Nothobranchius furzeri: one gene and its partners. The protein of the gene in region 1 purifies or fractionates together with the protein of each later gene. This does not show direct contact. Links are inferred from orthologs where the notes say so. Each region holds a gene or a part of one and is shown on either strand. Other genes may lie near its edges.

Region 1 (3,500 bases):
CGGCAGGGAATCAAATCCTGCAGTGCCAGACGTGTTCCGCTGCTGAAGCCAGTGCATGTCCAGGCCCGTCTGAAGTTTGCCAGAGAGCACATGGATGATCCAGCAGAGGATTGGGAGAATGTCATGTGGTCAGAAGAAACCAAAGTAGAACTTTTTGGTATAAACTCAACTCGTCGTGTTTGGAGGAAGAAGAATACTGAGTTGCATCCCAAGAACACCATACCTACTGTGAAGCATGGGGGTGGGAACATCATCAGGGTATCCGCGGGTCCTTAAAAAGTCTTAAAAAGTCTTAAATTTACTTTTCCAAATTTAAGGCCTTGAAAATCCTTAAAAATGACAAATAATCCTTAAATACAGTTTGCAAAGGTTTTAAATTACCAAAGACCCAATAAACTAGATTATTTTATTTCTATGACATTTTCGTGAATTTCAGCATTTTTTTGTGTACGATGTTGGCGTAAGTGGAACCGTACACATTCAGTTGGTTGTGAAAGGGGACTATTTTTAGATGAGCACGTTAGCTGGTTAAGCTAGTGGGAGCTTGCGCCATGGAGAAGTGCAAGTTTAATGGTAACTGGATGGCTAATCCCATGTTTGCGACGTGGTTAGCACCGGTTCCAGGTAATAGCTGTAAATTATAGCTTAAAATTAATTTAAAAATAGCTTAAATTTGGATCTGGATCGAAAGGAGTCAGTTGAGGTGGTTTGGGCATCTGGTCAGGATGCCTCCTGGACACCTCCCTGGGGAGGTGTTTCGGGCATGTCCTGCCGGCAGGAGGCCCCCGGGCCGACCCAGGACACGTTGGAGAGGTTACATCTCCAATCTGGTCCGGGAACGCCTTGGGGTCCTGCCGGAGGAGCTGGTGGAGTTGGCCGGGGAGAGGACGGTCTGGAGCTCCCTAGTTGGGATGCTGCCCCCATGACCCGGACCCGGATAAGCGGAGGAAGACGACGACAAGCTTAAATTTGGTCAAAGTGGCCTTAAAAAAGGTCTTAAAAAGTCTTAAATTTGGCTCCCTTAAACCTGCAGATACACTGATCATGCTTTGGGGCTGTTTTTCTGCTAAGGGGACAGGAAGACTGATCCGTGTTGAGGACAGAATGAATGGGGCCATGTATCGTGAGATTCTGAGCCAAAACCTCCTTCCATCAGTGAGATCTTTGAAGATGAAACGTGGCTGGGTCTTCCAACACGACAATGATCCCAAACACACCGCCCGGGCAACAAAGGAGTGGCTCCGTAAGAAGCATTTGAAAGTCCTGGAGTGGCCTAGCCAGTCTCCAGACCTCAACCCCATAGAAAATCTGTGGAGGGAGTTGAAAGTCCGTGTTGCTCGGCGACAGCCCCAAAACATCACTGCTCTCGAGAAGATCTGCATGGAGGAATGGGCCAAAATACCAGCTACTGTGTGTGCAAACCTGGTAAAGACCTATAGTAATCGTTTGACCTCTGTTATTGCCAACAAAGGTTATATTACAAAGTATTTAGTTGATTTTTGTTATTGACCAAATACTTATTTTCCACCCTGATTTACAAATAAATTCTTTAAAAATCCTGCCATGTGAATTCATGGATTTTTTTTCACATTCTGTCTCTCACAGTTGAAGTGTACCTATGATGTAAATTACTGACCTCTGTCATCATTTTAAGTGGGAGAACTTAACAATCGGTGGCTGACTAAATACTTTTTTGCCCCACTGTACATACGATGTGTTTGCCTATACCTTTTTTTGCTAACTCCAAAGAAAAGGATTGGCAAAAAATGTATGATCTCACAGGGCATTTTAAAGGAAGTTCAAGGCATATTTCCCATCATTTCCAATATTTCATTATAACTATGCGTTGTTGATCACTTCGAGGGTATTAAATGTACTAATTATAGTGCCAGAAATGTGTTACAGTTTCAGACAACTAAAAAAAACTATATCAGGAAAATATTATCGTCCTCGGTTTGGGTCCTTCAAGTTAATATGAAATATCATATCATTGCAGATTAGGGAAAATGTCATCAAGCAGTAACCATTATTAAATTCATAATAATCGGGTGAGCAGTGGCGACCAACTCATCTGCGCCATGGGAGCCATAATGCATAACATCATTTTGATATGGAGGTGTCCGTGACACGGTTTAAATGCTGGCAGAGGGCGCTGCGGCTGCAGTATATAGTGACTCGTTGTATTCTCCCTCAACCAAAAGTCCTCACGTCATGCATTTAAGCTAAATTGCTAATGTTAACTTACCTTGCACTGGCTGTGGAGACGTGGGTGATGGTCACGCAGATGTGCCATCAGATTCGAAGTGTTGCTGCCTTTTGCAGACACTTGTTTCCTGCACGTTCTGCAAACGGGATAGCCGTCTTCTATTAACTGTCCCTCAGCATTTTTCAGAAATCCAAAATATGCCCATACTTCCGATTTAGTCTTCTTTGAGGGCTGATGGATGTCCTGGGCGCTGCCGTCTGCTCCTTCGGCCATTATTTCAGCTTCAAAGGTTTGGTTGCAAACTAAAAAGTGCGTGTGCGCGGGAACTTCAGCAGAAGCGACGGTGGCTGGTAAGGGTCACCGCGCCTAAACCGCGACCACGGTAAACCCACCGAGATAATTTAGTCTTTAAAAAACAGGACGGTTATTTTTATTGTCAACTTTTTTACCGGGGTTTACCGCTATACCGGTTACCGTGACAACCCTACTCCAAATCAACTTTTTTTTCTGATAAACTATATACATGCGTGTCTAATCGTGCTGCAGACACGTGCAGTCAATAGTTTTGCACTTTAGTGCATCTTAGCTAACATTTTTATTTTGTACCTAAAACTGTCAGTGTTGTGCCGTTGTCAGGTAAAAACTCTGCACTGCATTTGAATTTAAATCTGCCATCGCTATTGGCTAAGAGGTACCCTAGAACGCTAGCTGGTACCATATGATGTCACAATGCCGTTGAGAGCCTGTGTGCGTGTATTTGTTAGCGGCTCCGCCCTCTCGGTCTGCTAGGCAACAGCATTTGTTGCATTTTTCAAACAGGAAGCGGGAGTTGAGTAAGGATCTGGTAGGGGGTGACTTGCTCTTTAGGAGTTTAGAGTAAAGACCAAAGGATGTGCCTTCAGAGACATCGGCTCTTCTACAAAATCCTTGATGTTTATGTTGCTCATACTCAGAATACTGAAGTTTCATTTTAAGATTTAATCTGTGTCCTGCTGTGATTGTTGATATTATTAAACAATCACAATGTTTTTATAACATAAGTAGATGTTCCGCAGAGTTAAGATTAATCCTGTGTGTGTGCGGTTTGCTTTGTCACGTTTTCCTCAGCGGGTGCTGAGTCACCAGGATGACACGGCGCTGCTAAAAGCCTACATCGTGGAGTGGAGGAAGTTTTTTACGCAGTGTGACATCCTGCCCAAACCCTTCTGCCAGCTGGAGATCACTTTGATGGGAAAGCAAGGATGCAACAAGAAGTCCAACGTTGAGGACAGCATTGTCCGCAAAGTGAGGAGTC
Region 2 (2,469 bases), on another chromosome or scaffold:
TAGTCTGACTCCTAAAAGCACAGCCAGCGTTACTTAACCAGCAGCGGCACACGGCCCTTCCTCCGTAGCTGCGTTTTAGCTTCCACATGCCAGCTGTGTGGAAATCACCAGTCTGGTGTGTTTACTAAGAACATAGGATTGTTGTAGCTTGTAGCGATGAAGTAAATAAAGTATTTAATGTGAATATTTCTAAAACACTAAATCAATGTAGTCATCTTCTATAAACCACTGGATGTTTGTAGTTATCATGCAGGAGTAAATCTGTAGTTCTCTAGTAAAAAAGTTACTTCAAAGTGACAAAACTCTTCTAGGAACAATTATTTATGTGTGTGTGTGTGCGTGCGTGCGTGCGTGTGTGTGTGCACATGTACTTGTGTACTTTGCCAGGGGTATGAGACCTTTGGCCATAAAATATGCTTCTCTCTTGCAGTATCTGTCTCTTCCTAGGCTTCTGCTGGAGCTGAGCCTAATGTAATCACAGAGAACTAAAACTCTGAAAGGGGAATCCAGTGGAGTAATTTATGTTATCTTAAGTTACTACTTGTTTCTCTCTTTTTTTAGTTTGATTTTTTATGTTATAATGCTAGAATTAAGTGAATTTTGTTTAAAATGTGTAGATCCAAATAGGATGCTGTAGTTCTGATTAAGTCTTACAGATAAATTAGATGTCACGTGTTCACCTAACGTAGCCTTGCTGGTTATGTAGCATGTTCTTCATTTGATCCCAGTTAGAAAGCACCAGAGACACTGAGCATACCTGTTTAATTCTGACACAATTCTCTAGTTGTAGTTAGTTTAGCTTTTAGGTGAATGTTGAACGTAAATCCACCTGCTGTCCTCTCATTTTATCACCTTTCTTCAACTTGCAGGTGTTCCTATGGAACATGGATAAGTACATGTTAATCCGGAAGCTGGAGGGGCACCACAATGATGTGGTGTCTTGTGAATTTTCACCAGATGGGGCGCTGTTGGCCACAGCCTCCTACGACACCAGGGTCATTGTGTGGGACCATCACAAGTCCACCATCCTTCTGGAGCTGGGGTGAGACGTGTGTGTGTGTGTGTGTGTGTGTGTGTGTGTGTGTGTGTGTGTGTGTGTGTGTGTGTGTGTGTGTGTGTGTGTGTGTGTGTGTGTGTGTGTGTGTGTGTGTGTGTGTGTGTGTGTGTGTGTGTGTGTGTGTGTGTGTGTGTGTGTGTGTGTGTGTGTGTGTGTGTGTGTGTGTGTGTGTGTGTGTGTGTGTGTGTAATATCCCCTGCGTGGTTAAACCTGTCTGAATACATTCCATAACAGCTTCTGTTTCCAAAACAGCACACCTATTTGCCACAAGGTCACCCTCTTAAAGGGGCAGTACATGCTGATTCTAATGAACGTGTTAATGATTGGAGATGGTTGAAGTTTTTCTTGGATGACGAGTCCAGACAGGTGAACCAACTCAACCAGTAAACACGCATTTAACCTGTCCTCCCTCTCCAGCCACCTCTTTCCTCCCCCGTCACCCATATTTGCTGGAGGGGCGAACGACCGCTGGGTCCGCAGTGTGAGCTTCTGCCCGGATGGCCGCCACATCGCTAGTATTACTGATGACAGGTGAGAGCTTCTGGGTCTGGGTTTAACGTAAGCGGTGTGTAAACTACAGGTCTGTAACCAGACTGGAGGAGGGTTTGGGTTGTTGACTCATGTTTTCTAGATGCTGCCACTCTACTCTTGTTGTCTTGCATCAGTCTCGATCCTACAGGTGGTCTTGGGATTTTCACAACTTTCCTATAAACTTGAGGATGTTTTCAGTTAAAGCTGGCACGGTGACTTGAACTGGTGTTGCGAGCTCAGAAACAAGGTTTCAGTCGTAGATGAGATCACCAGGTCAGGTTTAAAGCTGTATCGGTCCCACCCCCGACTACTATCTCTCTCTCTCTTCTCAAATGGAAGTAGAGAACATTTGGCTCTTGTTCGTCTGGTTCTGGGTCACAGCACAGTCACATGTTAGTCATTCATCACAAATTCTGCTCCAGCGAGAGAAGTTATTAAGTAAACAGCTGGGAGAGAAGCAGACGGTGGTTTGGAGTTGAGATTTTCTTAGAGCAGACGAACAAACTAAAGCTGCAGGAACAAGTTACGTCCAGAAAAAGAGAGAGCTCCAAGCAACCCTGTTGTTTGAAACGTTTACTAGTGCACCCTAGTTCACAAGTCCTGACTCGCATTGTCACATTAACAGTGACACACACACACACACACACACACACACACACACACACACACACACACACACACACACACACACACACACACACACACACACACACACACACACACACACACACACACACACACACACACACACACACACACACACACACACACACACACACACACACACACACACACACACACACACACACACACACACACACTATATTCTATGTGCTACTAGTCTTGAAGTCGGGCTGCAGCTGAACCTTTAGTGTGGGTAA
Region 3 (4,244 bases), on another chromosome or scaffold:
GAGGGGAACCGTATCAGCCAGTTGGGCGCTAGTGGCAGTGGAGAAGGTCCGGCCCAGGATAACAACAGAGTTGCTTGTATTTTCCTGGGTCTGCTGAACAGTTGTAATCCTCTGCTCTAGTTCAAGGACTCTTCGAGTGAGGTTGAGACAGCTGTCACAGCCAGGGCTACAGGTGAGCGGAGGCATTGGGGGGGTCACGTACATCCCACACACTACCACTTCAGAAAAGTAAAAACATGTAATAAAAAACAATTGATAATTAAAACTGCACACCGAGCAGCGTTTAAAAAAGCGGTATGCAATTACTGTGCCCAATGTTTAAACGTAAAAGTGATAAAATCCGTGGAAAAAGAACAGGACCAAGTATGGAGATTTGTGGGACACCCCTGGAGAGAAATGCATTGGTGAAAACAAGTTATTGGTGGTGACATGAACACTTATGTTTGAAAGGTATGACTTGCTGCTCTAACCATGAGATGAGGACATCTCTGAGTCACCAGAGTTAAAAAAAAAAAAAAACAGATGTGATATATGCTCACCTTTTTGTCAGCATGTCTGAGAGCCAGGGCTAACTCTGTGGTGATGGTGCTCTTCCCCACGCCTCCCTTCCCTGATAACACCAGAACAACATGACGAACCTGGGACAAGTTCCCGTCTGACGTGAGGCAAAGAAAACCAAGACGTCACAATGACAAGAAACAATGAACTGAGACGAAATAATAACAACAATAAACTCTTTCATTTCACTTTGATAATTAAGAGCAAGTTAATCTTAAGGAGCTCTAGTTAGCTGAAGCTAATAAGATACTTCGACTTTTTTAGGCATAAAATTAAACAGATAATGTAAGAATTGACAAATTTCAGAAGAAATCCGGACTTATTTTGTTTCTATTTGATAAACATCCTCCACCTACCATTATTCTGTTCCATATTTTAGATTTAGGGCTAACACGAGTTCGGTAACAGAACACTTCCTGTACGTAGTCACGCACCAATCACACAGCTCATGCTGCATCTTGGCCCCGCCTTTAAAAAAATGCAACCAATAAGAAACTAGTTTTGAAAATGATAGATTCAGGTGCGTCTCATACTGTAAAATATTTAAGATTCGATGGTTGGAAGAAGAGTAATACGCTTCCGTAGATTACACACCAACTGATACTTTTTCTTAGTTTTCAGCACGATTTTATTTGAAATTCTTTTGCAGCTGATTCATCAAAGGATAACACAAATTATACGTTTAGAAATTATTTTATATCACGTTTTGTTGTGTATAAAGTGTTGTTTTGTTGTTAAAATATGTTCAGGTCAGCACATCTCACATGATGCGTCATTGAGCAGCAGACGTAAGCAATAATAAGATGTACACAAACTCCTCCCCCACAAAGGTTTCATCCAATGGGAACACAAAGGTTGTGTTTACGTCTATCCTGTGTGGAAGTGGGGCAGGGTGCTCACTGCAGCTGTCACACAGACGCACAGAAAGGCGAATGAGCTACTGCTAGACTGCATAAGAAGACCAGTTTAAGGTAAGAGCATAGACTCACAAATGTTACCATGTGCTTTAAAGTGTTTTAGGATGAAGCAGAACTTTTGCAGAACTCGCTGCAGCTGTGAAGTTGTGACTAGAAGGTACGATTCTGCAGCGGGACAGTTAAAAGTGACTACAACATCTTAAATGTTTGTGTCTTAGTTGTTATAATAAAGCTGCCTTTGAGTTTATTAAATTTATTTCCTATATCCTTGAGCACACTGACTCACCAGTGTTCTGTCCATACTCAAACCTCCAGCTGATGCATTCAGAAGATATGGGGTAAGGCTCAATTAAAATGAGACTTGCTCTAGACTGACTAATCTGAATTAATGGGCAGCCATCCACTGCACCTGTTTGTGAAGCAGCAACCAGCTGCTGTGTTCAGGACTGGAATTAACAGAAATATTTCCATCAGGTCGAGGGACAGAATGGGGTCAGTGTATGCGCCGATATGACATTTTAGGGCCGATACCAATATCCGATATTAATATCCTTGTTATGGCCGATAACCGATATACTGACACCAACGCTTCTAAAATCAGCAATTTTGTATAAAATGAAAATTATTAAAGCTGAATTTACATTATTATGTACACACACCACACACATTTACACTTCTGAGATGATTACAATCACTGTTCACACGACTAAACAATTACACGTCACCCCATCACCCTCTGAAACAGGCAAACAAATGGAGACAAGATGGAAAAACTATCGGTTGTTAATATCGGCCCGGTTTTATTTATCGAACCAATACCGATTTGTTGATGTCGATATATTGTCCATCCCTAGTTCAGCGTTTTAAAATGAATCTATTACATCTGTTAAATCTATGCAACATAGAGGTTGGTTATCAGATAAACAGAACTCTGCATTTAGTAAATTAGCTAAGATTTTTAAAAATTGATATTAGACTCAGACGTCTAAAAATGATGCCATTCCTGTTTTTTCTTTTCACTAAATAACCCAGCTGTTACACCTCTAGTGTAAAATGTGGCAGTTTGTTGAATAAGATTGGTCTTTTCTGTGATTTCTGACTTATATGTTGGGTCAAGTGACTTCCAGTAGAAAGCACTGGATTTAAAGGTTTTAGCGTGTGTGGAAGGACTTCCTGTTGCTAGCTGTGCTATATGGGAGCAGATGGCAGGAGATCCAGGACACACAGATCGTTCATGTTGACTGGCATGTCATGCAGCTTCAGCATGACTCTTTCCAGGCACCAAAACTAACAGATTTTCAAACCGACCCATTTTGAGCTGCCTGACAGGATTTTGAAATATAAAGAAAAATGTGGGCGGACACAACTGAAAAGTACAAAAAGATTTTAAAAGCCAAAGCTACCTAAAAACATTCTAATTTGATTTATTTCACAGTTTTCTAGGATCTTTCAGTGGTTCCCAAAGTTGGGGTCAGGACCCTACTGTGGGTCACCAAGAGCTATACAGGCAGTCTCGAGGTGATTTCGAGAAGTCAAAATAAAACTGAAAAACGATTACTGAAGCTATATTTCTAGCATAATTGTTACAAAAACTCCACTAACGTCTCATAAATGGATGTAAGTGAACATGAGCTGAAGCAGTTTTTATTATGCCCTGAATTATTTGACTTTTTAAGCATTTTTGTGTCGTGAAATCAAAAATATCTGGGCTCACAACTGCTATTTTCTGGGTCTGAAGTGGAAATGTTTGGGAACCACTGATCTAGATCACCGCTGACCTTAAGAAGTGCACAGCCTCCAGAATGTTTGACAGCTGGTCACCAAGTCTTGTGCCGGCTGTCCGTAGAGCTGCCATGCTGAGAAGAGGCAGAAACAGCAGAGCTCGACACGTGGCCTGGAGTGACCTGAGACAGGAGACAGATGTCCAATCCACTGACGGCGAAGAGTGTCAGAGCCAGACAGAGACACAGGTGAGACTAGAGGTGCAGAAAATCACAAATATCACTTAGATGAGCAAGAAATTGGTTCCTCTGGATGATAAGAAGTGATTAAATCTAGTGTTTTGTCGCTAGAACAGGTGAAATCATAGATGTGCTCCACAAGTAAACAGAGGAAATCACACACACACACACACAAGTAGAAACCTTTTGGAGAAAACACAAATTAATCAGAGGTTAGCACATGACGCACACGTTTAGGAATTTAAATGATGGTTTTCTCATCTCAGCCTCTCTACCGGGTACAATCTCTGGCAGAAGCTGTCCACAAAAGCCTCCCCGCTGTTGGTTGGATTACAAAAATGTTCAAAACAAACCTCACATTCTAGAACCAGTCCCTCTCCTCGCTACTAAGGATCAAGCACGGCTACATCTGAGGACTTAAAATGTGCTTTTTGTGTGAAACAGTTTAGTGACTTGGACTTGGAAGTGGAGGTGGAGGTGGACAAATGTCACACCACACCCAAGCTGGAGGCTCTACCGTGCACAGCTCCGGTGACGGGGGAGTCGTTCTGCCACTGTGTGCCGCAGGACGAGGTCGGGCGAGGCTACAGGGTCGACAGTGACTGCTCCTGTGGGGAGGAGGATCAGGGTGAGGACAGCTTTGTGAAAGAACAGACATTCACAGTCTGACCATACTGTGGAAGCTTGTGATGCTTTGTGGACGTCTGCTCTACATAACAGTCATGTTTCTTTCTGCACAAAAAACGGGTTTGTCTTTTAATGTTAAATATATAGTTTTCATATGTATTAGAAAAACTCCACCAAGTCT
Region 4 (4,249 bases), on another chromosome or scaffold:
CCCTCGAGACTTTAAAGGTTACGGTTTGTTAATGCAATCCACCATAAGAGGAGGGGTACCCAGAGTAGTTTTGGCTCGTTAAATAACAACAGACAGCTACAGCTTATAATTTTGACTCTCCCATATTCCAGTTAGAATTGACAAAGCTCCTCAGATGAGAAGTGAAACATCTTTGAGAAACCAAAGAAGTCCAGTTGCCCTCATTTGAACCTTTTTGGATTACCATGACCTGGATGACCGAGAACCTTCACCAGCATACAATCCACTATTGAACAAAAAAAGAAGGAAATCACGTCGTTATCGCTGTTTGATGTCATAAATTATGTTGTTCCTCTCCACTGCCAGGATAAAAGCCACGAAAACACACCGCTGCACTTTGGGAATGATGCTTTGAGTAAATAAACCGTTAGGTCACACGTAAGCTTCATAAATATGTAATTGCTTCACTGCAATACTTTTATTTAGAAAATTACTGGGGATTTTACACTGAAACTGATTTCCTGTCTAGCCCTATGTTAACTGCGATAATTGATGCATCCCAGAAGCGACTCACCACAAAAATAGAACCCGATCCTACTATGACGGTGCGACATGCTGCTTCTGGGACATGTCTGAAAATTGCCACACCGCGGCTGCTTTGTTACACTCCATTGAAAATAATGGATTTTATTTGAAGCAGTGCCGTTTCGCACCACTGACGCTTCCACTGTGCAGTAGGGGTTAAACTTACTGCACATTGGAAGCAAAAGTGGCAAGGTTTCACTCTTAATACTGACTGTAATTTCAGGTGGTCTCCTGGCTTTCTTTGCCATTTTGCACATTGTTACCCTCCTTCATGTATTTAATACTTTTTCCCTGTGTTATTTGTGTAAGCGGGGTAAGTTATATGTAAGTGATGTGTAACTTTATTACACATAATTTATGAACTTAAAAGTTTAGATGTCTTTGAATGAATTAAACACTTGAGTTGAAAGTGACTGATGGACATTTTGTGTCAGTAACTCATTTAGAAAAACGCTTACTGATGAAATTACTGATGTGTCCAGATAGGAATATCCAACCTCTGAAATGAGGGGTCTGTTGCTATGATGTGCTGCAAAGTCAAGTGCATAAAAATGTTTCATTCATACTTTAAATGAAGTTAAAACAAGTTAGTAAAATACAAAAAGTTTGAATGCATTTTTGATGACATTGCTGGTGTTTCAGCAGGTTCTTATTGTGTTTTTAGCAGCATTTATTATTGAGTTTTTAAACACTTTTATTAAATTGTTTAAACTCTAAAATTTTATTCATTTACTATTTTACTTAAATTTAAATTTCCTAAAACCATCTGCTTAATAAATGCTCTAAAACAACTGACATTTATTTTGATTTACCAGTTTTATAATGAAATGTTTCAATGCTGTGCAATGCACAAAATTAAAATTGATGGGTTGGTAAAATTCAGTGTTCAAAAACTGATTTAGGTTCAGAAATGTACACCCATTCTTGTTATTAACAAAATTTTAGCTTGCAAATAAGGAGGAAAACATCTAAATATCAGCCATGAAAATTAGCCCAAAGAATCAGGACCAACGATCAGCCATCGGCTAAACATGACCTTTACATACATGCATCTGATTCTGCAATAGAAAAACCCATATCAGAGACATGCAGCAATGAGATGAAGAGAAGAAGTTATCTACACGTAAAACACACATTTAACACTTACTACAAGGTAATATTGTAACAACAACCAAAGAGCATCTATGTCTCAATAAACATTTTCAGTAAATTTAGTTTTTGATATATTTGTGCATTACCGCACATCCCTAAATGAGCAATCCTCCTTTTTCCTGGAGTGTTTGCAAACTTGGACACACTATCCAAGGATGACTCACCTTCAAAGTTGATATCAGCTCCATATTGTAGAAGGATTTCTGCGGCATACTCAAGTCCCCGCTCGGCCACTTTAAACAGAGCATAGCTGATGCCTTCCAAAAACACTTCAGACTGGGACTCTTGTTCCAGAAGCTCCACCAAAGAGCTGCTTCTACTGGACTCATCCTCGGGACTTTTGGCACAACTGAAAGATAAGTAAATGTCTCATCCAAAGCTTTAAAAAAAATCAATTTATATTTTAAATGCAGTGGTTGTTACGATACAGAAACTGATCATGATATAAAAAAAATTACCCGTTAATGTAATGTTGTTGTTTTTTTTTTAGCAGAATTACCTGGTGTCTTGACTGCCATCTTCTTCCTCAAGTCCAACAACACGCATGACAGCATTTACAAGCGGCTGATACTCAAAAATGATCCTCCGGAACCCGTGGAGGAAAGGCATGGTTTTTACACTTGTACACACTCCAACAAAACTCTAGCGTGGCCAGAATCCAAAAGAAAATCAAAAAGGAGATGTGTCAGCGCGACTTACAGAGCGGGATTAAAAACAACGTGAGTTCAGCGGACCTCCATGAGTATGTAACAGAGCAGAAATTATGTAAAAATTGTGAATAAAACGTCTTAAATAAACGCTATCTGTTCATAGAAAGTAGGTCGATTTTGTTATCTCCCCGTGAACATATTTACCTCATTCGTTCATAAGACATCTAAAACTACAGATAATTGAAGCTTCACTGATTAAATTATTAGCTTTAATTATTTATACATTATCTTTGTCAAAAAAAGTGAATTTACTTAATGGATGAATAAAACTCTTACAATAATACAGTGCAGACTGGTACTTACGAGCCTTTGATTTCAAAACAGGAAGTTAACATGAACACCCCTGTGGTCCCACGGTGATTGCCTTCCCATTTAAACTGCATGACTAAAGTTCCGGTTTGCAGTGTAAAATAAAATAAAATAAAATAAAATAAAATAAAATAAAATAAAATAAAAATCATGTTGTTTTATATCTAAAAGGCTATGCGTTCAATTGGGAACAATGCATTCTAGTAATAAAAAAGGAAGCAAACTAAGAACCTATAGATCTGTTGAATTTATGTTTCTGAGCACTAACTTTGGAAAGATGTTGCTGACACTGATGAAACAGACGATTAGGCTAATTTGATTAAACACAAGCAAAGAAAAAGAAGCTGTTATGATACGTTTTATTTGTAATGTAGAACTTGGTGTCGGCTTTGAAGGAAAGATGATAAAAAAAATTGCAAAGCTATTAATTCCACTTCCATATGGAGAAATGTTTAGTAAAATTACTTGTTCTCTATTCAAATTTGATACTAGCAACTCACATGTGTAAAAGTTATTGTCGGGACACAATTGAACACTGTAAACATTTTTTTTAACAATAAATAATTTTCACTAGTCTAAAGATGGCCTAATATAATTTGGTATAATTTGCTTTAAAACCCTTCAAATGTTATTTCACTTGAATGAACATGTAAAATGCTGTCTCTTTCACTTTGGAGACACATTATTAAACTGTGGGTGATGGAGTTTCAAACTGCTCAAGATGGTCTTTAAAAGTTTCTTTTGAATGATTAACAGGCATTTAAAACATTAGTGTGGTAAAATGTAATAGGCTGGTTTTTGTTTCTGTGATTTAGATAATATTTGTGTTTGAATTTCACCCATTTTTTTTTCCAATATTAAGTTAGATTTCTCCTCCCTAATACAGTTTTTGCAGCTTACATTCATCTCCCCAAACACAACAGTACCATTAACATTTAACATACCACTTTCATTCAGCAATCAAATCACTGATAAGTTAGTAACTGACATGTCAGTTTTGACCAAGAAATGTTCTTTGTTTGTTTTTCACTACTGCAGTCATCTGGTGGTACTTTTTGTTTTAATTATTTGTATCTCCATAAGGTACATTATTGTCCAGCAGCAGGAATTCCAATTTTTACTACTTAATTTCATTGACAGCATCAGTTTTCTAACGTTTGCTTTTGTCCTGCTCAGCAAACGAACCCCTGAGTTGGTAACAGATGGCTGTCTTTGAAAACTACTGAGAAGGGCTCTCATACAAGATGTCACTTTTGAAACATGCACATTGTGTTTTCTGTGTGAGCTAACGGCAGCAAATTTGAACAAAACATATGTTGTTCTTGTCAGACTGCCTCGGGTATGTAGAGACGCAAAGGATCTGCTCTAGGAAACCCACTTTAATGTTTCTTTGCTTATGATATTAGGACAACTTTGATTTGAATAGCTGTAGAAAAAATAAGGAAAGATGCCAATCAAAAAATCTTAAAGTAAAACTCTAAAAACGACTGTTCTTTGAAACTTTGGATGCAGTT
Region 5 (4,294 bases), on another chromosome or scaffold:
TCTTCATTCTGACAGGCCCTCCGAAGTGGGGGCATGGGACGGCTCTCCTGGTATCCTGATGAAAGCACTATCCACAACGTCCTCCCATCAGGCCACATGGAACAAGTCATCCATACAGTGGCGCCATAAATCCCTGGTGAGAGAAAAAGACAAAAGACACTCTGTTAAGAGTAGGTTCAGGGTGAAAGATGAAAGTTTTAAAATATATTTAAGGCAAGATTTGTCGTTTATATAGTTTGACTTTTGCATCTGGCTGGGAAAAAATCTGAGCTCTCGCTTCACCTTTCCTAATTTTGTAAACAGTTTATTATGTGATATCATATTGAAAGATAAGATAAAAATACTTTTACCTCAGGACTTGTTGCAATTATTACCCATTGGCTACTCTATGCAGCTACCTGTTACCTTTACAAGTGTTGGTGAATAAAAAAGGACCTCAGCCCGGCTTGTTTGGCAGGAGATGATTGGACACGCCTAAAGGAATCGCAGCACTTATCAAACTTCAGACTATGAAATAAATCTGATTTATTGTGACAATATTTTTTCAGTGTACAGTGCTTTTCAATCCATCCATCTGTTAAATTTAGTTAATGAGTTTTGATGTGAATATTTGAACTTACTGAGAACAGTTAACCTAAAATAATCAGGTTGCTAATGTGTTTGAAAAAGATGACTAGAACAAAAATTAGATTAGCTCTAGGAATGTTTGATATCGGCGTTTTCACCATTGTCCGTTACACCAATACAGTCAACCATATGCCATATATACAAGGTCTCCCAACAAAGAAGGAAAAACAATCATTTAAGGTAAATAACATCACATATCTTCTATCATGCATACTTAAACTTTAAACATTACCATTGCAAAATATGACAACTACTTCGATTTAAGTTGGGCAATGGCCAGCTGAATCACATTTTCCCTGAGATAATCCTGACAAATGCACACAACAAATTTCTACTTCTTCAAAGTTGTGCCAAACAAACAAAAAGATTGCTAAACCTCAGACCTGTCATATTTTGACATTTTGAATGAGGAAAAGTAGCTGAAGAGTTTGCTATATAATGCGTGCATGACATCTAAACTCATTAAAAGAGTAAAAACCGATAGATAATTTACAATATTGTATTTCAATGTCAACAGCAGTTGATAATATTCGACATCCATATTTAGGACCATTCAAAAGTACAAGCACTGATCAAAACTCCAAACAGTGAAATATTTGATCACCTGGTTAAAAGACAATTACTAAAAATGAAACTGGCAAGCTGGTTTTTGGTCATGCAGTGATTCCTGGACGCACATATGTCAAGTAATTATTGCATCTTTCATGCAAACATGAAATTACTTCAATTTTTCTATTATGCTGACGTAAAAGATTCATCAGAAATTAAAAACACTGCACCCTAACCAAGAAAAGTTCAACAAAATGGTTGTAAACTGATATAAATTATCACCTCAAATGCAAAATGGTATTTTTAAAATTTATTTACCTGTTTTAGAAGCTTTTAAAACACAATAACAGCAGCTCAAACATTTTCAGAGATGTTTCAAAGGATCCCACATGACAGCGCAAGAGCATCTTGTGACTATTACACAAGAAATTATGTTCAGAAGTTCAACCACAGTTGAAGAAATATGCAGCAATGCCGCTGTCTTGCATGTTTATTTTTTTTTAATTAATTTAGAGGCATTCATACATAATATTTAGCACCAGTTGACCTAATCCGCTGTTCTCACCAAGACAAGATGCTAGTTGTACAGGCAGAATCTTTGTATGTAAATGGAGAAATTTGAGAAAATTCTAGATCTTTTGGTTGATCTCAGCTCACCACTGACCTTATATACATCCCATACTGGCTCAGCAATACAGACAGATATGTAAACATAACTAAACGTTCCTATTAAAGCCACATGACAACTACAGAGCCAAATATGTCACACGCAAATGTCCTAAAGACAAATTAATTCCACAGTTTATCTGACACTTTGCCCTAATAAAGCAGGGCCATAGTACTGAGGGACATCTGGCACATGAAGCTCCTAACCGAAGCTGCTTGATAATCAAGAGGGCTGCAATCTGATTACTCACCATTATCTGGGAGAAAATGGTGACTCAGTTGGTTGGGTCAAATTCCACCTCCTCCACCTTTCATTTGCTGCTGGGAAAAAAGTGCCAGTTCATTTAAAATATATGTAGTTTAGATTTAAAACATGCTCCTGTGGAAATATGCACACAATAATCATAAAAACGTTGTCAATAAGCCAAAGTTGAGGAGGTCTGACTTGACCTAGAAAGGCCTAGGGACACATGCTTTTAGCTTAGCTCCACTCGTTACATTGTTGCTTTCATTGCACTTATACAGAAGCATTAATAAATGTTCCAACAAATATTCCATCAGCACTGGTATTTTTTTTTCTTAAACAAGCAGTTCTCTGCCACAAAGCCGCTTATTATAACAGATTTCTAGCTAGGCGACTGCTAAGCTAAAACTGTCAAGCTAACCCACTACAAAAGTGATTTTTATTCTCTAAACACGTACAAAAAGTGCAGGACACTTTCGCTTACCTGGCCACTTTACGCTGTACTGCAGGGAGAATAAACCAAATACTTTATTCTGGACTCTTTTAAAAACACGTTCGTATAAAGATTCGCTCCTGGACGATTGTTGGCTAATGTTAGCCTAGCTTCGTTGGCGTTTTATGTGGAAAACATTAGCGCCGCTGCCATTTAAGTCCGCTTTTGTACCAAAAACAAAAATATAAAAGAGTCAGCATGGGTGAATTTTTAGTTTCCTTTCATCACGGGAGTATTTAGACGACTACAGTTGCTCATTAATGTGACATCTTTTAATCTAGGCTGGCTAACTCTTTGTAGCTTTCGGCCCCTTCCTTTCTTCCTTTGTTGCCTGTTGAATTGTGGGAGCTGAATCAGAGGACGCGTTCACATGCAGCGAATCAGCTGCAGCGTTCACATATCACATCTAAAAACAAACACATGCATTCATCTAAAAAAAAAGCCTTAACATCATCTTAAAAAGAATAACAATACACTTGTTTGTTTGCAATTTGTTGATAAGTAGATATGCAACCTAATTATAAAGTGATGATAATGTAAAATATGCTTACAGTTTTGTGAACATCCACATAAGTTTTGTTGAAACTTTAAGTTCATTTGGTTTCAGTACTGCTTCTTTCAATAGGAACCAAGTATGGAAGCCCATTCCCACCACTTTGATTACAAATGTATACTCCTCCTCATGATTTAATTATCTCATAATAATCAGAGACTATCTCCTTATTAGGAGATTAGGGCTTGTGATCTCATGTGATTTTGAGTTGCATTCTGAGATGTGCGCAAACATGTTAGTGGCCTTACGAATTACATGTTAAAATCCCAAAAAGGATGTGGAATATACAGGGATGCGTTAAATAAAGAAGTCTGAGACAGGTATGTGGACAAAATCAGCAGTATAAACAGTTTGTATCCATGTGAAAGACCCAAGAATGGAGCACCATGACTGTATGATATCCAAAACGAACCTCAAGGCTGATCATAGACCTGGAATCCCATCCATCCATCCGTCCCTTTTTGTCCGTTTATCCGGAGTCCATATTTTCAAAAGTATTTCAATTTTCACAACGTCCTGGTCTCCTCCCTGTCATGGTTAAGCAAAAGGATCGTTAGACAAATACATTATATATGCAAAACATAAACACAAACAGATTTTCAACACAAAGAAATTTGTTCTTCATGCTGTTTTCATCTAATATTAAAAGTCTTGGTTGATGAATAATAAAGCTGCAGCCACAGCTTGATAACTAATTTCCCACTTCCCTGTGTTTCTTTTCCTCTACTGATGTCACCAGGGGGGGTTTGGTGCAAAGCAAACACAAGCACCACACCACATAGGATGGTAGCAGAAGAAAGCTTAGCAAAAAGTGGTTTCTGTACATCTGAAGAACGTTTATCTGCCAATAACAAAGACTCATGTGTGTTTTGGAATGTTTTAATGCAAAATATTACTTCAAGCTAAATTGCTAATGCTAATTGTTTTTGCCTAAATCTCTCTCTCTCTCTCTCTCTCTCTCTCTCTCTCTCTCTCTCTCTCTCTCTCTCTCTCTCTCACTCTCACTCTCTCTCTATCTATTTGTGTGTGTGTGTGTGTGTGTGTGTGTGCACATGCATGTACACTGGATGAATTCTATTGGAAGTCCATAGATCTGTATAACATTTACACCTACAATTGATAAATTTTTGGCGCCAGCCTAATTCAAGATGGCTGATTTGCA
Region 6 (2,847 bases), on another chromosome or scaffold:
ACCTCGTTGTGTGCGCCCGGTTTTCTGCCTCACCTCGCTGAGGTGAAAATCAAACCGGTTTGAACATTTCTGCCTCACGTGGGGTAAAAACTCAATGTGTGCACACAGCGTGAGCTGCCAGCTGAGCTGAAATATTCTAATGGCCAATCAAAGAGTGTTCTCTGCTCACATGATTCCAAGATGGCAGCCCCCTGTTTTAAACGGAGACGGAGCTGGAAGCGGAAGAAATGCCTCTACTTTTTTTGTTGCGGAAAATATCAAATCGTATCTTGCCAAGCAAACGTCCTGGAATGACTGTTTGCTCTGCGGTTTGTTCTGGTGTGCGACAGGCTTTGGGATGTCTACAGCTACCTGCCCCACAGCTGTGAGACCACTCACTGGCTGCTACAGTTAGAAAAATCCAACATTACAAAAGCAGAATTTGAGTGGGCTGCCCGGCAAATATGATCACCTCCATGTTCCAGAAAAACCCGAACACATCGCTCTTTCCCTTTTGCAGCAGAGAAATGCAGCAAAGTCCAGCCGTTAGCGTCCCGTATCTGAGGAGAGTATCCTCGCTCCAGCATCCTCCTAACGGTGCACACATCCCCAGCAGCTACAGCAGCCTGGATCTGTAGTTCTTCGTGAAGATCAGGGTTCCCTCTGCAGTGATGGTTCAGCATCCTGCAGTATGTAGGAAATGTTCCGTGCTTGGAGTTAGGGGTGGGCAATATACACGATATCAGATAGAAACGATATAAAATTGGGTAATGGTAAGTTTTTGGCTCTACCGCGATATCACACGATGTCACTAAGATGTGCACCCGCGCCAACATTGGAACAACAGAATGGCAGTGACTGCAGGCATGTAGCGGGAGGAGGAGGAGCATTCTACACTTTTTGGACGTCTTTATTCTGCTGCCATATATTTTCCATATGAGGATTTTTTAAAGCATGTCATTTTGACATAATATATATATATATATATATATATATATATATATATATATATATATATATTGCAGTCATGATCGCACATGCTTCAGATTATATCGCAATATGGAGTTGAGGCCATATCGCCCAGCCCTATTTGGAGTATTCCATTACAAAAGTAATCAATTACTGTAATGCATTTTTCTTCCTGTAGCGCAGTAAGGCATTACAGAAAATAAAAACGACAGTATTTTACTTGGTACATATGTCAGCAACGCGCGTTAAGATGCATTTTTAACCCAGAATCAAGTGGTGGAGTTTCTTCACAGATCCAGTTTCCATCGATATTACATTATTTATGGACTCAGCGTACCTGGACTTCTTTTGAGCGGAGAGACTGCCGATCATTCAGGCGCTCCTGCGATTGTTCATGTCCGCTCAAGTTGTCTCGGTACTTTCTCTTTTATTCATGCTTGACACGCTCTGCCTCGAAGTTCAGAACCTGTGCCCCAGTGATTTCACCGTACTGCCGCGAGCGCACAGTGCGCATTTTGCCTTTTTTGCGATTGATAGATTCCTCAACTGCTTCGTTCAAAAGTAGCTCATATTGTGAAAAAGTAGACAATCCAGGAAGAAGTTTTTCAGTATTCACAGTTCCAGCTCAGCTAGATACCACCACCTTCCACTGGAGAGGTAATGAACTAATGGAGCGGCATGAGCTACGTTTAGATTGCCAAATCCTTACTTGCAGTTATCCTGGTGAGAATAACTTAAAAGTAATGTGAAAGTAATGTAATGCCTTACATTTAAAAATCAGTAATATTGTAATACGCATTGCTTTAGTAAGTAATGAATAATGTAGTTTTAAAGTAACTTATCCAACACTGGAAATGTTCATGTAAAAGCACCAACTAAACCTCAGTTAGTGAACTAACTGCTGTCTGGGTTTGAAGAAGCTGGAAACATTAAGACTTCTAGTATTAACTCGGATAACTGTCAGACTGAAACCAAAACATACCTTTTGACCAGCTGGAGAGACGAACTTCGCTTAGTCATTTTGCTGCTGCACTCGGTAAGACGCTGTAAAGTCACAAGACAACAGTTTAGCCTTACAGACACACACACACACACACACACACACACACACACACACACACACACACACACACACACACACATAGGCTAAGCAGACATTAAAACGGGTCAAGGGTGAAAAAGGTGTACATTCGGTGATGCCACATCAGTGAAAGTAGCACGCACACACACACAAACCCCGGCTGCATGTTTTCTACATGTCCCTGCTCAGACAAACCTGATTCTATATCAAGTTCAGATTCTTGTTTTACCTCAGAGTAGCAAAGCCTTTGTTTACCTTCTCCTAACCCAGGCGTCGGCAACCTGTTCCCGTCAAAGAGCCATTATTACCTGTTTCCCACAGTAAAGAAAACACTGGGAGCCACAGCAGAGAGCTGCTTTAACCGATCACAACAGGTGTCAGCAGCCAATGCCGTTCACTGGTGTCTGTCAGTTATCTTTCAACAGAAGATAATAAATAAAACTAGGTGTATAAAGTGGATCCAGAAGTTGTAGCCCGTCTCTGCCTACAGTATGTTGATATTTTTCACCCTGTTGGTGGTTTTACTGAGCAGGTGCCACTTTTGTCATACGTTTCTTTTTAAAACATGTTTAAACTGTTCAGAATACAAATCCAGGCTCTGTCACGTTTCATTGTTGGAATTAAACTTTGTAGGTGGGGAAGGTAAGATCAATGCGATCCATTTGTTTTCCCCTCGTTTACAGTGACGGAGATAACGGCGCAGTGCGCCTGGCTCTGGTGTTAATCAAGTTTAATTTGATCTCTTTGCAACAATTTTCACAAGAAAACAGAACAGTTAAAAGCAGGGCTTGTGTTGACCGGACAGTTCCCGTATCTGA
Region 7 (2,674 bases), on another chromosome or scaffold:
AGTTCAGATCTGGAGGCAAGCTGCTGTAAAACATGTCTCAACACGAGTGACTTCCTATTTGTGAGAACAGCACAGACAGATCCTGGATCAGATCTGCTGTTAGAATCAAACGGATTTATACCAGGAGATAAACGAGAAAACATTTTACTTATCGTATTTCTAAGAAGGATCCATGCAGAAGGAAATCGTCCGCATTTAAATGTGCGATTATAAAAACATATCAGGCGGTAACTAGAGTTATGAACACTAAACCACATCTTCTCCCAGCTCTGACACGATGCTTACAAACGGTCTGAAGAGGACTAAAAATACAGATTTTCCTTCTATGTGGCAGTGATGAGCAGCCGGTGGCCAGATGTATTTACACCAATGCTTCATCAGATTTTGTTTTATAATTAGCTCCAATATCCACTTACCAACACATTTATGGCCTTGTATGTGACTCATTTGTGTCAGTGAAGTCAACGTGCTGAGCCGAGCGAGACACGACCAGTCAGTGGTTAGAAACAGCAGAATATTTATTCATCAACAGCAACTTAAATACGAGGTCAGGAAGGACTCCTGCTAACTTTTAGCTGCTGAACCTGAATAAAGCATTTGTGAGGGACGAGTTTATTATGCTGGAAACAAAAACAGTCAGAAACACTTTGAGCTCAGACCCAAATGTACACATCATGACAAGAGGGAGAGGAGAAAAACGAGTCTCCGACTCGATAAACTCCAAGTGAACCAGAACATTCTCCACCGGGAGAGCCAGGTCTTTCAGGATGGACCAAGAGTCCGTCCAAACCCGTCTTCTTCGGTACCAAACAGGTGAAACTCTGCAGCTGAAGCTTCAGTTCTCCAGGAAGGCCACATAGTCGGTGAGTCTGGCCAACTGCTGCTCGTTTGGAACCAGGGCGACCGGAGGAGGATCTGTTGGAACAGACGGAGGTGGAGGGGTGATAACATCCCATCGCTCTTTGGTTTCAACTCTGCAGCCACGGCCCACATGTTCAGGCTCCAGTTACAACCAGCCGTTTAACCTGTCTGGTACCACACGGGCAGGCAGGGACCTCACATAGAAAACCACAGAGCACGCTAGAGGCAGCGCTAAAAACACGCCACTAAGAGATCAGCTGGGATCTAAATAAAGTCTAAATGTTAAACAAACTATCAAAAATGTCTAAAGTCTGATTTAAAAAATTGTAAAAATATGAGAAATAAAAAACTTATTGTGAGGAAAATAAATGTCAAAATAAAAGTTTTAAAAAAGTGAAATAAAACAGGAAAGATGCAACAACCTACAAATCCCAGAATGCCTTTTGTGAAAGAACTACGGTCTCACAAGTCCTACTCACACACAGAAGGAGATTGTGACATCAAACCTTTCACAAAATAAGGTTGCTGTGTAACAAAGAAATTCTTTAAGCTCAAACGCTAACTTCCATCTTTAGCCGTAAAAAACTTCCCAGAATTCCTCGCAGCAGTTTTACCTACAAACCTTTTCTATAAACTATAAAGCTGGGGTATTCAATTCTACGCCTCGAAGGGCAGTACCGGCACGTTTTAGTGCTCGGTCACGTGCTCGGTCAGGGTTGGCTGATTCAGTGCTTGAATCACCTGCAGCAGCTCATCAGGCTCTGCAGAAGCCTGTTAATCACCTGCCGACTGGAATCAGGTGTGTTGGAGCAGAGTTACATGAGGGAGAATTTGCGCGTTTCGAGCGTTATCCGTTCTTTCATAAATCGTTGTTGAATTGTGATCAGAAGCTTTTCCAGTTCGTGCCTCACTTTTTTTACAGCAAGGGCCCAAAACGATCTCCTAACACATGGATGTTCTGCTTCCTGATCACGTGACGTGTGACGTATGCAGATGAAGATCAGCTTTAGAGCTGAGATGTTTGTTCTCACGGTGCGGGGGCTCGTCCTGATGCCCACACAGTATTGGCAGTGAATGAGTTAAATTTGATTATAACAATTTATTTTGAAACTGAAAATCAAAGTCAAAATTTTCTTGGAGACTGTGTGTGTGCATGTGTGTGTGAGTGCATGCGTGTGTATGTGTGTGTGCATGCGTGTGTGTATGTGTTTGTGTGCGTGTGTGTGCATGCATGTGTATGTGTGTGCGCATGTGTTTGTGTGTGCATGTGTGTGCGTGTGTGTGTGTGCGTGTATGTGTGCATGCGTGTGTGTGTTTGTGTACACATGTGTGTGCGTGTGTGTGTTTATGTGTGTGTGCGTGCGTGTGTATGTGTACACACACGTGTGTGTGTAACCTGTGTATGTACATGACTAATTCCTCCTCCCTACACCCTAGTGAGGACGAATCCGTCTAACTTCTAACAGTTTTTAAATCTTGATAAATTATCTGAACTAGGAGACAAAATGTTGGAAAGTTCTGAAAAATTAAACATTCTAAAGGGAAAAATCCATAAATCTCTCACAAGGATTACAAGGGAGAAGAAGACAGATTGACTAAGACAGCAGCGCCCCCTACCTGGCTTCTTGGGCATGACCATCCTGGTGGTGGGATCTGCCTGCCAGCCTTGACTCAACACTCCTTCACAAAGAAAACATCAGTAAACAGAATTAAACACACGTGTGGATCACTGTTAAAACAACACAGGTGTAAACATGAGCTCACCTTTTACTGCCTCATCCACCGAGTAGCCCACGAAGGCAGCGAAGTCCTC

Evidence for each region.
Region 2: the proteins of cullin-5 (region 1) and wsb1 purify together in Homo sapiens (affinity purification with mass spectrometry; 4 studies listed by BioGRID and IntAct, counting the BioPlex papers as one, with this or other methods). This does not show direct contact. The link is inferred for Nothobranchius furzeri from reciprocal best matches to the Homo sapiens genes CUL5 and WSB1.
Region 3: the proteins of cullin-5 (region 1) and spsb3b purify together in Homo sapiens (affinity purification with mass spectrometry; 4 studies listed by BioGRID and IntAct, counting the BioPlex papers as one, with this or other methods). This does not show direct contact. The link is inferred for Nothobranchius furzeri from reciprocal best matches to the Homo sapiens genes CUL5 and SPSB3.
Region 4: the proteins of cullin-5 (region 1) and asb6 purify together in Homo sapiens (affinity purification with mass spectrometry; 6 studies listed by BioGRID and IntAct, counting the BioPlex papers as one, with this or other methods). This does not show direct contact. The link is inferred for Nothobranchius furzeri from reciprocal best matches to the Homo sapiens genes CUL5 and ASB6.
Region 5: the proteins of cullin-5 (region 1) and suppressor of cytokine signaling 6 purify together in Homo sapiens (affinity purification with mass spectrometry; 5 studies listed by BioGRID and IntAct, counting the BioPlex papers as one, with this or other methods). This does not show direct contact. The link is inferred for Nothobranchius furzeri from reciprocal best matches to the Homo sapiens genes CUL5 and SOCS6.
Region 6: the proteins of cullin-5 (region 1) and asb7 purify together in Homo sapiens (affinity purification with mass spectrometry; 6 studies listed by BioGRID and IntAct, counting the BioPlex papers as one, with this or other methods). This does not show direct contact. The link is inferred for Nothobranchius furzeri from reciprocal best matches to the Homo sapiens genes CUL5 and ASB7.
Region 7: the proteins of cullin-5 (region 1) and cops8 purify together in Homo sapiens (affinity purification with mass spectrometry; 3 studies listed by BioGRID and IntAct, with this or other methods). This does not show direct contact. The link is inferred for Nothobranchius furzeri from reciprocal best matches to the Homo sapiens genes CUL5 and COPS8.

What each region holds. Positions count from the first base shown.
Region 1 is NC_091750.1:28,001,917-28,005,416, reverse strand, and holds part of cullin-5, read left to right. Parts: intron 1-3,313; coding exon 3,314-3,490; intron 3,491-3,500. UniProt on the Homo sapiens protein: Core component of multiple cullin-5-RING E3 ubiquitin-protein ligase complexes (ECS complexes, also named CRL5 complexes), which mediate the ubiquitination and subsequent proteasomal degradation of target proteins.
Region 2 is NC_091753.1:17,149,049-17,151,517, reverse strand, and holds part of wsb1 (WD repeat and SOCS box-containing protein 1), read left to right. Parts: intron 1-869; coding exon 870-1,042; intron 1,043-1,474; coding exon 1,475-1,588; intron 1,589-2,469. UniProt on the Homo sapiens protein: Probable substrate-recognition component of a SCF-like ECS (Elongin-Cullin-SOCS-box protein) E3 ubiquitin ligase complex which mediates the ubiquitination and subsequent proteasomal degradation of target proteins.
Region 3 is NC_091756.1:32,878,185-32,882,428, reverse strand, and holds the start of spsb3b (SPRY domain-containing SOCS box protein 3), read left to right. Parts: upstream 1-1,444; 5' UTR 1,445-1,529; intron 1,530-3,213; 5' UTR 3,214-3,277; coding exon 3,278-3,445; intron 3,446-3,880; coding exon 3,881-4,064; intron 4,065-4,244. Other genes in the region: cytosolic Fe-S cluster assembly factor nubp2, read right to left, coding at 540-655, 915-930.
Region 4 is NC_091757.1:35,486,485-35,490,733, reverse strand, and holds the start of asb6 (ankyrin repeat and SOCS box protein 6), read right to left. Parts: upstream 2,801-4,249; 5' UTR 2,730-2,800; exon of another isoform or gene 2,703-2,729; intron 2,359-2,702; 5' UTR 2,326-2,358; coding exon 2,216-2,325; intron 2,066-2,215; coding exon 1,881-2,065; intron 1-1,880. UniProt on the Homo sapiens protein: Probable substrate-recognition component of a SCF-like ECS (Elongin-Cullin-SOCS-box protein) E3 ubiquitin-protein ligase complex which mediates the ubiquitination and subsequent proteasomal degradation of target proteins.
Region 5 is NC_091747.1:53,422,716-53,427,009, reverse strand, and holds the start of suppressor of cytokine signaling 6, read right to left. Parts: upstream 2,801-4,294; 5' UTR 2,571-2,800; intron 2,164-2,570; 5' UTR 2,094-2,163; intron 134-2,093; 5' UTR 8-133; coding exon 1-7. UniProt on the Homo sapiens protein: SOCS family proteins form part of a classical negative feedback system that regulates cytokine signal transduction.
Region 6 is NC_091749.1:7,481,911-7,484,757, reverse strand, and holds part of asb7 (ankyrin repeat and SOCS box protein 7), read right to left. Parts: intron 1,993-2,847; coding exon 1,931-1,992; intron 664-1,930; coding exon 452-663; intron 1-451. UniProt on the Homo sapiens protein: Probable substrate-recognition component of a SCF-like ECS (Elongin-Cullin-SOCS-box protein) E3 ubiquitin-protein ligase complex which mediates the ubiquitination and subsequent proteasomal degradation of target proteins.
Region 7 is NC_091747.1:24,680,976-24,683,649, forward strand, and holds the end of cops8 (COP9 signalosome complex subunit 8), read right to left. Parts: coding exon 2,626-2,674; intron 2,542-2,625; coding exon 2,479-2,541; intron 916-2,478; coding exon 836-915; 3' UTR 501-835; downstream 1-500. UniProt on the Homo sapiens protein: Component of the COP9 signalosome complex (CSN), a complex involved in various cellular and developmental processes.